Linked DNA regions of Daphnia pulex. The protein of the gene in region 1 interacts with the protein of each later gene in a biochemical or structural test. Links are inferred from orthologs where the notes say so. Each region holds a gene or a part of one and is shown on either strand. Other genes may lie near its edges. The genes, in order: ubiquitin-protein ligase E3C-like and 26S proteasome non-ATPase regulatory subunit 2-like.

What was found.
Region 2: the proteins of ubiquitin-protein ligase E3C-like (region 1) and 26S proteasome non-ATPase regulatory subunit 2-like form a complex in vitro, tested with the Homo sapiens proteins (2 studies listed by BioGRID). The link is inferred for Daphnia pulex from reciprocal best matches to the Homo sapiens genes UBE3C and PSMD2.

What each region holds. Positions count from the first base shown.
Region 1 is NC_060018.1:1,402,376-1,408,986, forward strand, and holds the start of ubiquitin-protein ligase E3C-like, read left to right. Parts: upstream 1-3,367; 5' UTR 3,368-3,505; coding exon 3,506-3,625; intron 3,626-3,692; coding exon 3,693-4,170; intron 4,171-4,232; coding exon 4,233-4,386; intron 4,387-4,452; coding exon 4,453-4,649; intron 4,650-4,713; coding exon 4,714-4,871; intron 4,872-4,937; coding exon 4,938-5,086; intron 5,087-5,151; coding exon 5,152-5,393; intron 5,394-5,460; coding exon 5,461-5,660; intron 5,661-5,718; coding exon 5,719-5,905; intron 5,906-5,969; coding exon 5,970-6,206; intron 6,207-6,266; coding exon 6,267-6,511; intron 6,512-6,572; coding exon 6,573-6,611. Other genes in the region: DNA excision repair protein ERCC-5-like, read right to left, coding at 43-133, 190-249, 317-530, 606-1,925, 2,060-2,270, 2,336-2,538, 2,596-2,690, 2,750-2,830 and 1 more. UniProt on the Homo sapiens protein: E3 ubiquitin-protein ligase that specifically catalyzes 'Lys-29'- and 'Lys-48'-linked polyubiquitin chains.
Region 2 is NC_060024.1:474,008-480,618, reverse strand, and holds the start of 26S proteasome non-ATPase regulatory subunit 2-like, read right to left. Parts: upstream 3,581-6,611; 5' UTR 3,457-3,580; coding exon 3,343-3,456; intron 3,261-3,342; coding exon 2,917-3,260; intron 2,855-2,916; coding exon 2,462-2,854; intron 2,394-2,461; coding exon 2,249-2,393; intron 2,180-2,248; coding exon 1,969-2,179; intron 1,905-1,968; coding exon 1,671-1,904; intron 1,589-1,670; coding exon 1,275-1,588; intron 1,210-1,274; coding exon 683-1,209; intron 333-682; coding exon 127-332; intron 56-126; coding exon 1-55. Other genes in the region: pre-mRNA-splicing factor 18-like, read right to left, coding at 4,459-4,689, 4,763-4,926, 4,989-5,118, 5,181-5,357, 5,431-5,591, 5,663-5,804, 6,015-6,077. UniProt on the Homo sapiens protein: Component of the 26S proteasome, a multiprotein complex involved in the ATP-dependent degradation of ubiquitinated proteins.

The DNA.
Region 1 (6,611 bases):
TGAGTCACAAATTTAAAAAAATTATTTAATGGATTTCTATACCAATTACTAAACTCTTCCAATGCTTCCAAACCAGGATTTGGAAATTCAGCTAAAATTTCTAGGGCACAAACCGGTCCGACACCTTGAATTCCTGTTGTATGCAGTGTAAAATGAAAACTTTATAGACTCGATAATATTGCTAAATACCTTCAGTATAATCGCTTCCGGTTAAAAGAGCCAAATGAACAAGTTTTTCACGTCCTAGTTCTTGAAAAAAAAATTATAATTTATGTTTATCGTTTACAAACTAAAAATTGCAAAACAAAACACTTACTGAAAACATTGTAAATGTCATCGGCTTCGAAGAATTCTACAAATTTCCCTTGATTAAAGAAATTTTTGTAGACTCGGCGTCCTCCAAACAGCCAGATATCGCTATCGTCCGTTATGGTGCCTTGAGTTAGACCAGCTTCGTCCAAGAAAGCGCACTGCGCCTCAGCTTCCATTGGAGCGACTAGATAAGGAATTCCAAATAGCCTCAGCAACTCCTACAATACAGCATTCTAATGTGTAAACATAACACCACACTTCTATAGCTACGGCATCAAGTAATAGAATCATACCTGAGATTCTGAATACATCTGGTCTGTAATAGATGAAGCTAGGCGTTCTTGCCGTCCATGTTCCTGAATTAAAATCGACTGCTCTTCGTTGATCACTCTTCCCATCTCTTCAAGTTCTTCTTTTCTCTTGGTTGTTATTGTGTGCACTACTGGTGATGGTGGCTCACTTAACTTCGTAGTTTTAGGCGAAACTTCAAAAGCCACTTGAGATCTTGAATTTTCTCCTGTTATTTCAACATTACGAACTTCAAAGCTACCTTCAACATCGTTTTTATTGTGAGTATCTAGCATTTTCGAAGTTTCTTCAATGGTAATAACTGAGGAAGACTGGGATAAGTTGTCACATTGGACAATTGGTGGTGGTTCAGTGGAAATTCTTCCTATAGGGATAGGAGGAGACGACACATGTTCCTTGACGAACGCTGAATTTTCTAATAAAGGTTTTTGCACCATAACATCAATTACTTCCGACAAACTGTGCGGCTGCTCAACAACAGTTTTACAGTCAACGAAAGAGTTTTCGTCGCTTAGTTGTAAATCCGCTCCATGAGTTACTTGTGTTATTTCCGATAATATCAGAATATTTTCTTTTTCAAGAGTTGTAGTGGTTGAGCTCAATACTGTTTCTTTGCTAGCGGCTATTATGGACTCTGTTGATTTGCATGACGTAGTGTTATCCACAGGCACAACAAAAACATCAGGTTCTTCCATTGACGAATCCTTTTCAACTGAGCTGAGATCATCCGATTGATGTGTTGGTTTTTCAGTTTTCGAGGGAACGGCAGAGGTAAATATATCAGCAAACATGTCGTCTTCTTCAGCTATTGCAGGATTGATCGGAATATCAAGGATGACTCTATTCCCAGGGTATGGTAGAGCTGATGGAACTTCTTCGAAATCCGAATCTTCGTCAGACGAACTAATACACATTACTGGTTCCTTTTTTTGTTCACTTCCAAATATTGCGAATAACTCTTGTTGACTAAATCCATCTTCATCCACTTCCAAAATTTGTTCGGTGGCTAGGTTCTCACTAACTGATGCGACTTTTATGGGCTGCTCTATTACGTTCGGGTCGGTGGCTTTTTTTGGTCCAATTTTTGTCGGTGACGTAGAGTGTTGTAAAGCTTTTTTAATCAATACGTAGTGAGTAGAATTGTCAGAAGCAATTTTGTGTGACTCAGCTACGTCTCCTTGATTTAATGCAAACTGTTCATGATTCTGTTGACCGATTTCTTTTACCACCTCATTCAGACGCTGTTGCAAATTTCTTCGCTTCAACAGCCTTTCCATTTGAAATCCAGAAAAATCATCAGCCTCCTGCATTTAATAAAATAATCCAACAGCGTTGAAACGATTAGATAAGAGAAGTCAAAAGAAGACCACGGGAATTATGATCCCCCCTCTCCCCAAAAAAAAAGAATAAGCAGCAGGAAACATGCTACCAAAATTACCTGGGGCATTTGGTGAATCCTGTTCCAGGAAGATTGCTTACGAGTGTCTCGCAGTTCCAATAGAATTTCATGTTGTATTTCAGTTGGCAAAGCAAGGAAAGCTTCACTTGTAACATCTACTGAATGTATGTTGTGACCTTTCATATGTAAAGAAATTGCGCCCAGATTTCCATTTGCATCGTCGTCAAAATCTGATTCTGAAGAATTGTCCCTAAACATCAACATTGTTATTAAAATGTTAAGAATTTCTGTGTCAAAGAATTAACAAAAATTTACTCAGTGTTTTGATTTGGAATTGGTGGAAGCTCAAATAAATCAGGTTCCAATTTTTTCTTTTTTAACAAAGGAGCTCCAGATTTCCCTTTATTTTTGCCAAGTTGTTTATTGATAACTTCTGACTTAATATAGTTTGAAAGGATTTTCTCTGCAACCATATCATTGTTCTTAACAGCTGTATCTCTCCTGTTATGACGTGCAGCCTAAATTGTATTTTATGATTTCAAAAATTGTTGAGTAACATGTAAAAATAAGTGTACCATGGTTTGCCGTTTCAGTACTGGAACCCCTCCATCAAAAACAAATACTGGTTTGATTTTGAAAAACAATAGCTTGCAAAGACGGTGGCATAAGCCTGATGAGAAGATGAATTAATCTAAATTAATCAAATAATGGCCTTGTGAATTGAATTACCCAATAAGTGGGCATTTGGTAATGGATTTCCTTGGGCATCCCGGAAACCTTTAGTTGCTTGATGAAGCCAAATAGACACATCTAAACAAATAAAAATAAAAAATGATATTTTATGATTTGTTTAGAGTGAAAACAGCATATCTCAACATGGTATTGAAGAACTTACCAACAGCGAGAACTTTATTCTCAAGGGTTTCTAGCGGAACAGGTTTGCCAACCGGTTCTAGTAGATTCCACAATCCATGAACTCCCATCTTTGAAATCACAAATTATCTCGTAAAAGTTTTCCTTCATTCAAAAGAAATTACTGCTCTTACAGATGAGACAAAGTTGTCTCACGGCATGCTTGTTTTCAAACAGAAATCGCTTGGAATATCTTCTGCTAGAATGGACAGAATTGTTTAGGTTGTGTTCACTAATGCTTCACCAGAGTTGGCTGCACTAATTCAATATAATAAAGATATTAAATGGTCTGAAAATAAAAGAGAATATTTTACGGTTTGTGTTTTAAACTTTTAATTGCTTTTTGAAAATATTCCCTGTATCTCGCGATCCGCGAATAGATTTTCTGCCATTTCACCTGTTTATAGCTTGTTATTTTAATTATGCAACATCGTAAGTTTAGTCATTCTTGTGAAAAACGTCTGCTGTTCAGTTTCCCAAAGTCACCAATTTATCACAATAAAAGGATAAAGGATCCAATTACGGCAACTCGCAAATAGTCCACAAGACCTGGATCGATTCGTTGTTTTTGAAATGTTTAGTTTTGAGGGAGAGTACAGGCGAAAACCTGTCCAAAGTTTGGGAGGCGCATCAAAACATAGTCAAAGAGACATTTTTCTCCAGAGAACACAACTAGAAAGGCAAAAAAGAGAAGTAAAACAAAAATATTGCATTTCAACTCAAGATCATTCATTACTAACCTACTTTATTGCTAATGCAGGATTTACGTCGACAAAACCAAAGTGCTGTTATCATTCAAGCTTTTTTTCGAGGTTGCCAAGCTAGATCCCTTCAAAAGAACATTCAACGACAAGAGTTTGAAAGAATACAGGCCACCAATTTCCAAAATATTAACTTACAACTCTTGACATCTTTGATCAACAAACTTAAGTTCTTCTTTGATAAAGAGAAAGATGCTAACAAACTTGTGTGGCTATCACAGCTGGTGATAAAAAATTCACCTAGCATAATGAAGCAATGCCAAACTGAGAAACCATTCACATTTAGCCTTGCTCAATTCCTCAGCTTAACTCTGTGCTACATATCTGATACTATTCATTTACCAACTGGAGAGAGCAAAGGGTCCCACTGGAGGGTCTTGGAAATCTTCCTCAATGCAGAGGGCTGGAGAAAAAGTGTAGGAGTTCAAACAGCTGATATGATTTTGGGTTCAATATTTTTTTTCCTGTCTCGAAAAGGTAACATTCTCTCCTTGTTATCACAAACTTTTTTTTGCAAATAAAAATTATCTTTATTTTAGGTTATTTTACCCAGTTACGCCAGATTGTTGATGTTAAAATACCACCTTTAGTTGAGCCCACCACAAAGGCACCAACCCCTCTTTCTGGTTGCCTGTTGGACTTTATTTTTCAACCCCTAGAATTTGCATCGGCGACAATGAATATAAATAATCGGTTTGAAAAAGAATTTTTCTATTTATTATCCCACTTTTAAATTTATTTAAATTTATTTTCGTTTAGTAACACTGTAGTTGCATCCTTTAGCCGAGAATTTCTGGAACCAGCGTATTCAGAACCAATCACAAATTTCATTCTTCCGTCTTTGAGGCAGAATAATAACAAAATTCCTTTGTTATGTTTGCTTCAAAACAATGAAGCTTGTGCAAGAAATCCGTGGCTTCTTCATAGCATTCTGGTGCTGGCAGATGGACACCCTGGTAACTTAAGAATTCAGTTAACATTCTTGATTCTATAAGTACCAACGATTTCTTCTTAAAATAGAACTTAAGGACGATAGAGTGCTGTCATTCTACGTTGCCACAGTAAGTCGTTTAAGCGGATGTCTCCAATTCATGCAAACTGCTGAAGTTCACGAAGACGACGACGACTCAGACGAAGAAGATGTACAAACTAACATATTTAAAGCTGCCGAACAAGAAGTAATAACCTTGAAATATCTGGTTCATTTCGCAAATCAGTAATGTCATTTTCCTTGATTGCTACAGATAATGACTCGTTGCTGTGAGTTACTTAATAATATCAATACGGTACATGTATTGGTAACAGCCCTGCAAATCCCTGACGTTCTACCAGATTTGTGTGTCGTTGGTCACAATCTGTTGCTGTCTGATCGATTGGCGCTCCACAAGTGCAGGTATAGCAATACATAAATTTACTCGTCTTGACTCTGTAATTTTTAACCGGCGCCATAATTTCTAGGCTACTTTATACGTTGGCTTTCAAACCTTGTTATCTGCAACAGTTGTTAGGCCATATCAAATCAGAAAAGCAAGTGTCGCTGTTTGGTTCATCGGATACGTCCTTGGTTCAACTTTTGGCGAAAGGTGTTCATCTGGCGCATTCGGAAATTGACCGAATCGTACCCGTGTTAGATGTTTTCTGTTCACTTTTCAGTCATCTTTTAGTAACGTTGGACGACTCCGAATTTTACAACGAATCGGGTTCGTCTTCTACATAGTTTTTTTCGAAAATAATTTTTAACTTAGCAATTTATTGCTCATTTATTAGATCCAGTTTCTGGAGCTATGCCGTTCAGCCTAACTGAAGTGGTCGAACTGGCTTCTATATTGCGTGACGTTTGCCTTGGATTGGTGGAACTTGCTTATCCTGATACTCGCCCAAGCACCTCCTTCAACTTTGTCAAGACCCGTACTACTTCCACCGGTAACACACAAGAAGATACCCGACTGTGGATGCATCTGTTCAAAGTAAGGCTAATTTATTCAATACATGGACACAAAATGAGTGATATACCCTTCATTGTAGTCTACAGTGAATCTCGTCAGCCAGTTGCACACAAGAGATACGCGCCGACCGTTCTGTCCTAGTTGGGTTTGGATAACTGGAAGAATTGCCCTGCCTTTGGAGAGGAATGGCCAGCTGTCTTTCCGTAGGCAAGGCAGACTTCACCGTCCGTTTAGGGCTATCCGACCATTAACCAGGAATGAAATTGGTAATTTTTCCTTCGTGTTGACACTCTAAAAGAGTATAATTTACTTAATAATATTTCTTAGTAGAAGAGGAAGGTAGTTCTATGTTGTCAACAAGAGAGGTGCGAACCTTAGCCATTCTGCGTGAAATTCCGTTTGTGTTCTCGTTCACCGATCGGGTCAAAATGTGGCAGCAATGGATCCTCAATGATAAAATGCAGCAACAGGGAGAGGCCAATTTCCTTCGAGGTCCATCCATTCAGGTCATGATTCGCCGGAATTATATTTATGAGGACGCTTTCGATAAACTTTCCCTTGAAAATGGTGAGTTTCATTCACAATTCTGAAGGATAACAGAAGATTAACTGAAATTTATCTTGACAGAACCAAATCTGCGATTTAAGATGAGAGTCCAGTTAACGAATGCTGTAGGATTGGACGAAGCCGGAGTCGATGGTGGTGGTATATTTCGTGAATTCCTGTCAGAGTTGCTGAAAACGAGCTTCGATCCGAATCGCGGGTTTTTCCGCTTAACACACGATAACTTGCTCTACCCTAATCCCGGTGTGGCTGTCCTCGTTTCGGATTTCCCAGCCCATTACTACTTTATCGGTCGTATGCTGGGAAAGGTGGGATTGAACACAGCTTCTTAATGCTTTATGGTGGTTCTAATGTCGTGATTATCATTAGGCTTTGTACGAGAATTTGCTGGTGGAATTGCCGATGGCG
Region 2 (6,611 bases), on another chromosome or scaffold:
GGCTGGAGGGAGGCGGCCAATGTGTACAGCAGATAGTGCGACTTGCTCAGAATAACTAGAACAAAAAAAAAAAAAAGAAACCCATTGATTAACTGGGCGCTTTAATTGTGCTGCGAAAGTGATTACTGTTTTTGACGTCGAGGCAAGCGATAACAGTGGAAAGCAATCCGGCGACGGCCACCGGATTCATGAGTTGCCTTTCGCTGTGATAGGGCTGCAAGGTCAACGTGCCTTTGCCCAGATGTGTCAATCCCTGAGCCAGGCGGACCATAAACAGGGCGTTGGAATCCTTGGCGTGGTACTGGGCCAGTTGGCGTAACATGGCGGCCAATCTAGAAAAAGAGGAAAGTCAAGTGATGAAACCGGATGAGCCACTAAATTAGCTACGGAGAAACAGACGAGCGAGTGGATCATGACACATGACATTAGCCTTCAGTTTTGATTTCCTTCGTTAAACATCAATTAACTGCCAGCTCATTCATCGAATCAGTCAGCCCATCACACTCAACATGACGGACCACCAGACGTTTTCAGGAAACCACTAAACTCTCTAAAGATGTACTACTAACCCCCCCGCCACCCGCCACCAGCCAACGAAACGTCGTCTCATACCAAGGATGTTCATGTTACATTGTCAATAACAACAATGACGGGATACTAGGAGGGATTGTTGTTGACGTACCTGGCATTGTTGGTTCCGGCACCCACTAAACCGAGGGCCAGGATGCTGTTGAGGGCCACTTCAGAGTCGGAATCGTGGGAGAACTTGGAAAGTGTATCGAGGACATTCAAACGAGGATTAGAGACTGAAATCAATCCCAGAGCGAGTGGCACGGCTCGGCGGATGCAAGGCTCTCCGTAACGCAGCAAATGACCCAACGTGCGGAAGGCCATTTCGGCCCCAATGTCCTCTCCCATGCCAATGAGCGCAAGACCAATGACAGCCACGGCTTGCTGAGATGACAAATCCGCTTGGGCGCCGGAAGAGGCGGCAGCAGTCGAAGTGCCTGTTGCAGAACCTGCTGCTGCTGCTCCGGCAGCCGCCGCGGCACTTTCATCTTTTTTGACCGCCGTTTCTTTGCTCTCTTTCCTGTCTTCCTTTTCCTGGGGTTCGTGGTGCTCGCTGCAAATGTGGAGCAAACGCTGGACGCGTAGAACGTTGCCCGTCCCCGCAAACGCGCACACTTCAACCATCGTGCTGGCCATGGACTACAGAAGGAAATGGTGAGCAACTTTCCAAGAAAAAACAAATAAAAGTATTCAAACTACATTACTTTGAAGGGTTCGGCTAGAACTTCCAGAGCCAAAACAACGGCCTCGACGGCTTCTTGCTTTCCCAAATAAGTGAGACCCAATCCAAGAGGTAGGAAACGAGAGAAGGTATCTTTCAATTCCACTTCGCTCTTCTCCATGAGTGTTTGAAGCAAGGCTGAAGTGACGTCTCCGTTACACGATGCCACGGCTACTAGGCCACATGCAAGGGCGGCGACACCCACAACTTCCATCGACGACTTGGGATGTGAGAGGACAGGGAGCAGCAAGCTGAGCACGTCGTCGCGATTGGAACCAGCATATGCCAGTCCAAGACCTGAAATAATTACAAAATATTCAGACATCACTAACTCATCCCTCCAACTGTCACTGTGAAAACCAAAGAGGACAAAACTGACCAAGAATAGCACCAATCCTCATCACGTTGCTGCTATGTAAAACATAGTCAGAAAGAAGAGCCAAGGCAGGATCGCACTCGTTACGAACGCCAGTGTTGACAATACCGCAGGCTAGCAAGGCGCCCGCTTTAATGTATTCTTCCGATGAGTAGAGGTATTTGTCGATTTGCGTTAGACCACCATCAACATCCCATAAGAGCAGCAAGCCCAACGAAGCTGTTGCACTCAACATTCCTAAGAGAACAATTTGGTGAGTACAAACGGTTGCAAAACAAAACAGAATAGTCAATTCAAATACCGTGTTCCTTGTTTTTGTAGAGCCACTTGTTCCCGTCTTCCATTAGAAGTTTGTCCTGGCCAAAGGCGGCATTGACCAATCCATTAACGAAAGACGATGCCAAGTTCTGGCGGGCCGAATCTACTTGACCACCACCAAACGCAGAACGAGAATTGTTGTCCAGATGAGATTTGTAGATGTCCTCGGGGGTCTTGGGTTCCATGATGTCCAGCTATTGCAATATCATGCAGCATTCAGATTAGCAAAATTTGTTGACGAACGAATCCATCTCAAATATTACCTCTCGTGCCAGCGATAAGAAATGGTTGTTTAAGTGGGTATTGGACATGATTTCAATCAAGTCGTCGTAATCCTCCAACTCCTCATTGAGCTCAAGAAATATCTGTTGCCGCCCCAACATAAATGCCAACTGTTTTCGCATAGTTCTGAAAAGAAATATTAATATTTAAACCGTCCACGAATGTGCTTTGTTACACAAAGTAAGTTAACTCACCCGTCGTTACAAGCCAAAAAGACTTCTTCGATCAGTGCATGGTCATTGATCTGCAGAGCCAGCCTAAGTGCTTGTGGCCACTGTTGGAATTTACGGAAAATGGAAAGCGCTGTTTTCAAAAGGTTAACATTCTCGGGATCGGGAACATATGGAACGCAGCTGCTGAGGTAAAGGCAAACCCGGTTGTGGGCAGCTTCATCGACGTGTTGCTCCAGCATGTCCAACTGCTCAATTTCCATTAGCAAGTCGCATGCTTCGGCTTCAGCATTGTGAGTCATTTGAAAAGGAATAATTTGTTCAACAAGAGCAGACAACTGAGCTCTCTTTGCTTTGCCTTCATCTCCTTCAAAAGGGATTTCATCCCATTCCTGGGCAATTTCCCCTGCTAAATGCCTGAAATGAGCATGAAAATATTAAAAAGTTGACCATAACATTCCAAATCAAGAATTCATTACCTAACATATTCATGGCCCCATTCTACTAGTCCTTCTTTGGATCCTATCAAACGATATTGAAGGCATTCAGTTCCTTCAGTGTTTGTCATTGCCAAAACTGATATGATGTCAGCACAAAGGGCTTTGGTGTTGGGATCAGTAATTTTTTCGACAATTGTTTTCAAGACAGCATAATGAGGACGCAAGAACTTTAGGGGTTTGGGAACACTTGTCATTGAAGTAGTAGCAGCACAAATAAGTGTACGCATGATTTCTAGAGAGGGCATCCATAAGGTAGCATCATTCTCCGTCAACCTTTCAATAACCATATTCAGCTCATCTTGGAGCTGCTTATCTTCTTCAGACTACATGAGAGGAATTTGACAAAAAATTGCAAACTATGATAAGACGTCTTATTTGAAATACTGTCATTTTAAAGTGTTATACCAGTTCTTCTTCTTTCGGCGTGTCTTTAGCTTTTCCCTTTTTTTCCTTTTCATCCTTCTTTTTTTCTTCTTCGCCGTTTGGTGCAGTTTTCTTAATTTCTTTGTCAGCAGTCATTTTCCCTTTTAAACTGACTTGTCGTGATTGAAAATTTTACGATTGTGTGTAATATGACGAAGCTGTTTCCGCAAGCTGAAAACAGACGAAATAGACATATAAGCCGGGCTATGCTTCGTTGCCAAATGAGAATATGTTTGCAATAAAAAATTAAAGTTGTTTTATAACTAGGAATAAGTAATAATTTAATGAAATTCACAAAGTTTATTCTTGTAAAATAAACTTGCGAGAGAAATCTTTGTTACTTACTTTCCATTTTTATTACGTTATAACTAAATTTTTTTGCTGCCCAAAAATGTCGCCAGGAATAGGACAGGCAGGCGACAGGCCGTATAAATTATTTAAAAAAAATAAAAATCAGTTCTCTTTAAAGTTCTTTAAGATTTTGACTGTGGAAAGCATTATATGAAAAATATGCGATTTTTTAGAGAAGGAGGCCAATGGTATTATACAGCCTTTCGATTTCTCTACTGCTTGACAAGCCAAAGTTAGGTTAAATAAGCCCGCAAGTTGTAAGTGTTTTATTTAATGTTTCTAAACTATTATTTAGTTTAGCTGTTTCTGACGAAAAAATCATAAATCCAAATTCTAAACGAAATTATGTACTTACTTATATAAAACCATTCATGTATGTTATCACCTCATTCAATATTATATAGACACAAAAAAGACTCACTGATTGATTAGAAAAAAAACGACACTGTAGCGCGAATATCATCCAGCACAGGCAACATTCACCTTATCTAGTTATTTCCGCATATATTAGTTAGGCCTAATAAAATCCATATTTTCATGTGTCCAACACTAATAGTCTAATAGAAATAAAATTAAGTGCTGAATACAAACAAATTTAAGTGCTGAATTAAAACTGAAAAAAAAAATTAATAAAATGTTTCATCAGCGAGGAACTTCGTTTTTATATTTACAACCGTGAAGACACGTAAACAAATGTAATGTGCCCGAGGCAAACGTAGCAGTACATATTCGTCGTCTCGAAACAGCTTAAAATTCAAGCTCTGTCGCTCCATATTCCACACAGCGAGACGGATCGGTAGGAAAAAAGTACTGGCACTTTGTCATCAGTCTTTTCAGCCCTTGGATATATTTACGTTGAGTTTCATCGTTCAGAACATGTGCAACGTGTTTGGAAAAAATTTTCTCTCGACCTGTACGTGCGTGAATACCAACCATGGTGACACCGATAGGCCATGGAGCATTACCAATAGCCATTTGCTAAAAACAAAATAGAAATAAGACGGCGAATCAACATAAGAAGAACGATAGATAATTTTCACCGACACCTTACCAAGTACGCATCATTTGCAATGACGTAATTTCTGTCAAGTAAATGGCCAACAATAATGGTTAAACTGTCGAGAATATCGTCCTGGATACTTTTATTGCGGAGTTTCTTGAACAGTGGCTTTAAGTACTGCTGCGTCTGACCGTAAGTTGCTGAAGCTCGTTTACCTTTAACATACAATGGTTAGAAACAACCCAACAAAGAGATTATCAACAGGAAGACACAATACCTTTTACGCTTCTTTTTTCGGCTTCGGGACGACTATTAAGTTTTTGACCCCAGATTTGAAGCAGCAATCTAAGTAGTTGGCTAATGATTTTCAAATCCAAATCACCGTTTCCTTTTCCCAAATCTTTCGACTAAGAGAATAAATTTTGTTAGGAATATACAAAAATTTCAAAGTAATTTAAATTGCTCTAACCAATTCTAAAATTTCTTCGTAACTAATTGCATCTGCGATGACTTTTACGTCACCAGCCTTGGGCTTGCTTGAACCATCATCTGACTGGTCATCTTCATCTTTTTTGGTGGCAAGAATGTCATTCAGATAAGCCTCATCTACTCTTTCCATAGCTTCTTGGAAATCATTACGAAGACCCTAAAGATCATAAATCACAAAAAATATTGATGTTTTTTGCTGATATACAACATTTTTCTGTAAGGATTGTTACCCTGTTGATTTCAGGTTCTGAAATTTCCAATTTTCTAAGTCTTCTGAAAGCCTCAATGTCTGATTCACCATACAGAATAATGGGTTCATTTCTGTCACGCAATCTACGAATTACTTCTTTTCTAGGAAGAACCGCCACAGTTACTCCATCTTCCTCTAGAACTAGAAAAATAATAACAAATAAAAAAAACATTGTTATCTCTGAAAATGTTATGTAAAACTTTTTGGAATACCTCCTCCTTCATTATCAGCTATTCTGCTAGGGCCTTGTCCATCAGACAGCTTAACTGCAAATGAATTTGCATGTTTTTTTATATATTCTTCCTTCTCTTTCGCAACCAGATCTCCACGTCTGAAGTATTTTTTGCTTGAAGGCTAAACAAGAAAGTTGATGAGTATTATGTAAAATTTCAAATAATTTTCCACCTAACATTATTTAGAAATACACAATTCGATTGTTCTATGCATTTCCATCTGTAAATGATTATTTGAAACTATGACAATGCACAATGAAAATGAATCTGTTGTTTTGAGTAAGGAATTATATTTTTAAATATACAACGATCTTGATGAAGCCCAACTTACCATAATGTCTTTATCTTGCAGCATTTTGCGCTTGCGTTCCATTTCAGCTTTCAAAAAATCCATCTTAATAGCGTTTATATTTTTCCAGATTTTCAGCAATCAAGATTCAAGATCAACAACTTTCGTCGTAGCACAGCACCATAGACTGCGAAGTAAACTGCATAAAGATATGCTTGAGTATGGCTTGAGACTATGAGAGTGCCACCAGAGGCCCAGAGGCCAGAGCCATAGACAAAGACCACTGGTTGATGCTGTGCTATCCTTTTAGCCCTATCCCTACTGACCCCGAGCTCCCGTATCGATTGTAGTGCCTCTAGCGGACAAAGTACTGTACTGCACCGAGGCTACGAAGGGTTTTGCAGACGAAGATTGTTTTCCTTCTGTCTTGGTAAAATTCTTTGCTGGCGTTTAATAGTTTTAGGTAATTTTGCCTTAAAAATTTTTATTAAGAAGTCAAATTGTATTAAATTTTGACATTAGCTAATTACAAAAGCAGAGAAATCAATTAATCATTGCAATTGAATAGAAGTAAGCAGAGTGTAGAGATGAAAACGTACACTAGAGGGCAGGACAAGTAATACGGGGTTGGAGAAATCG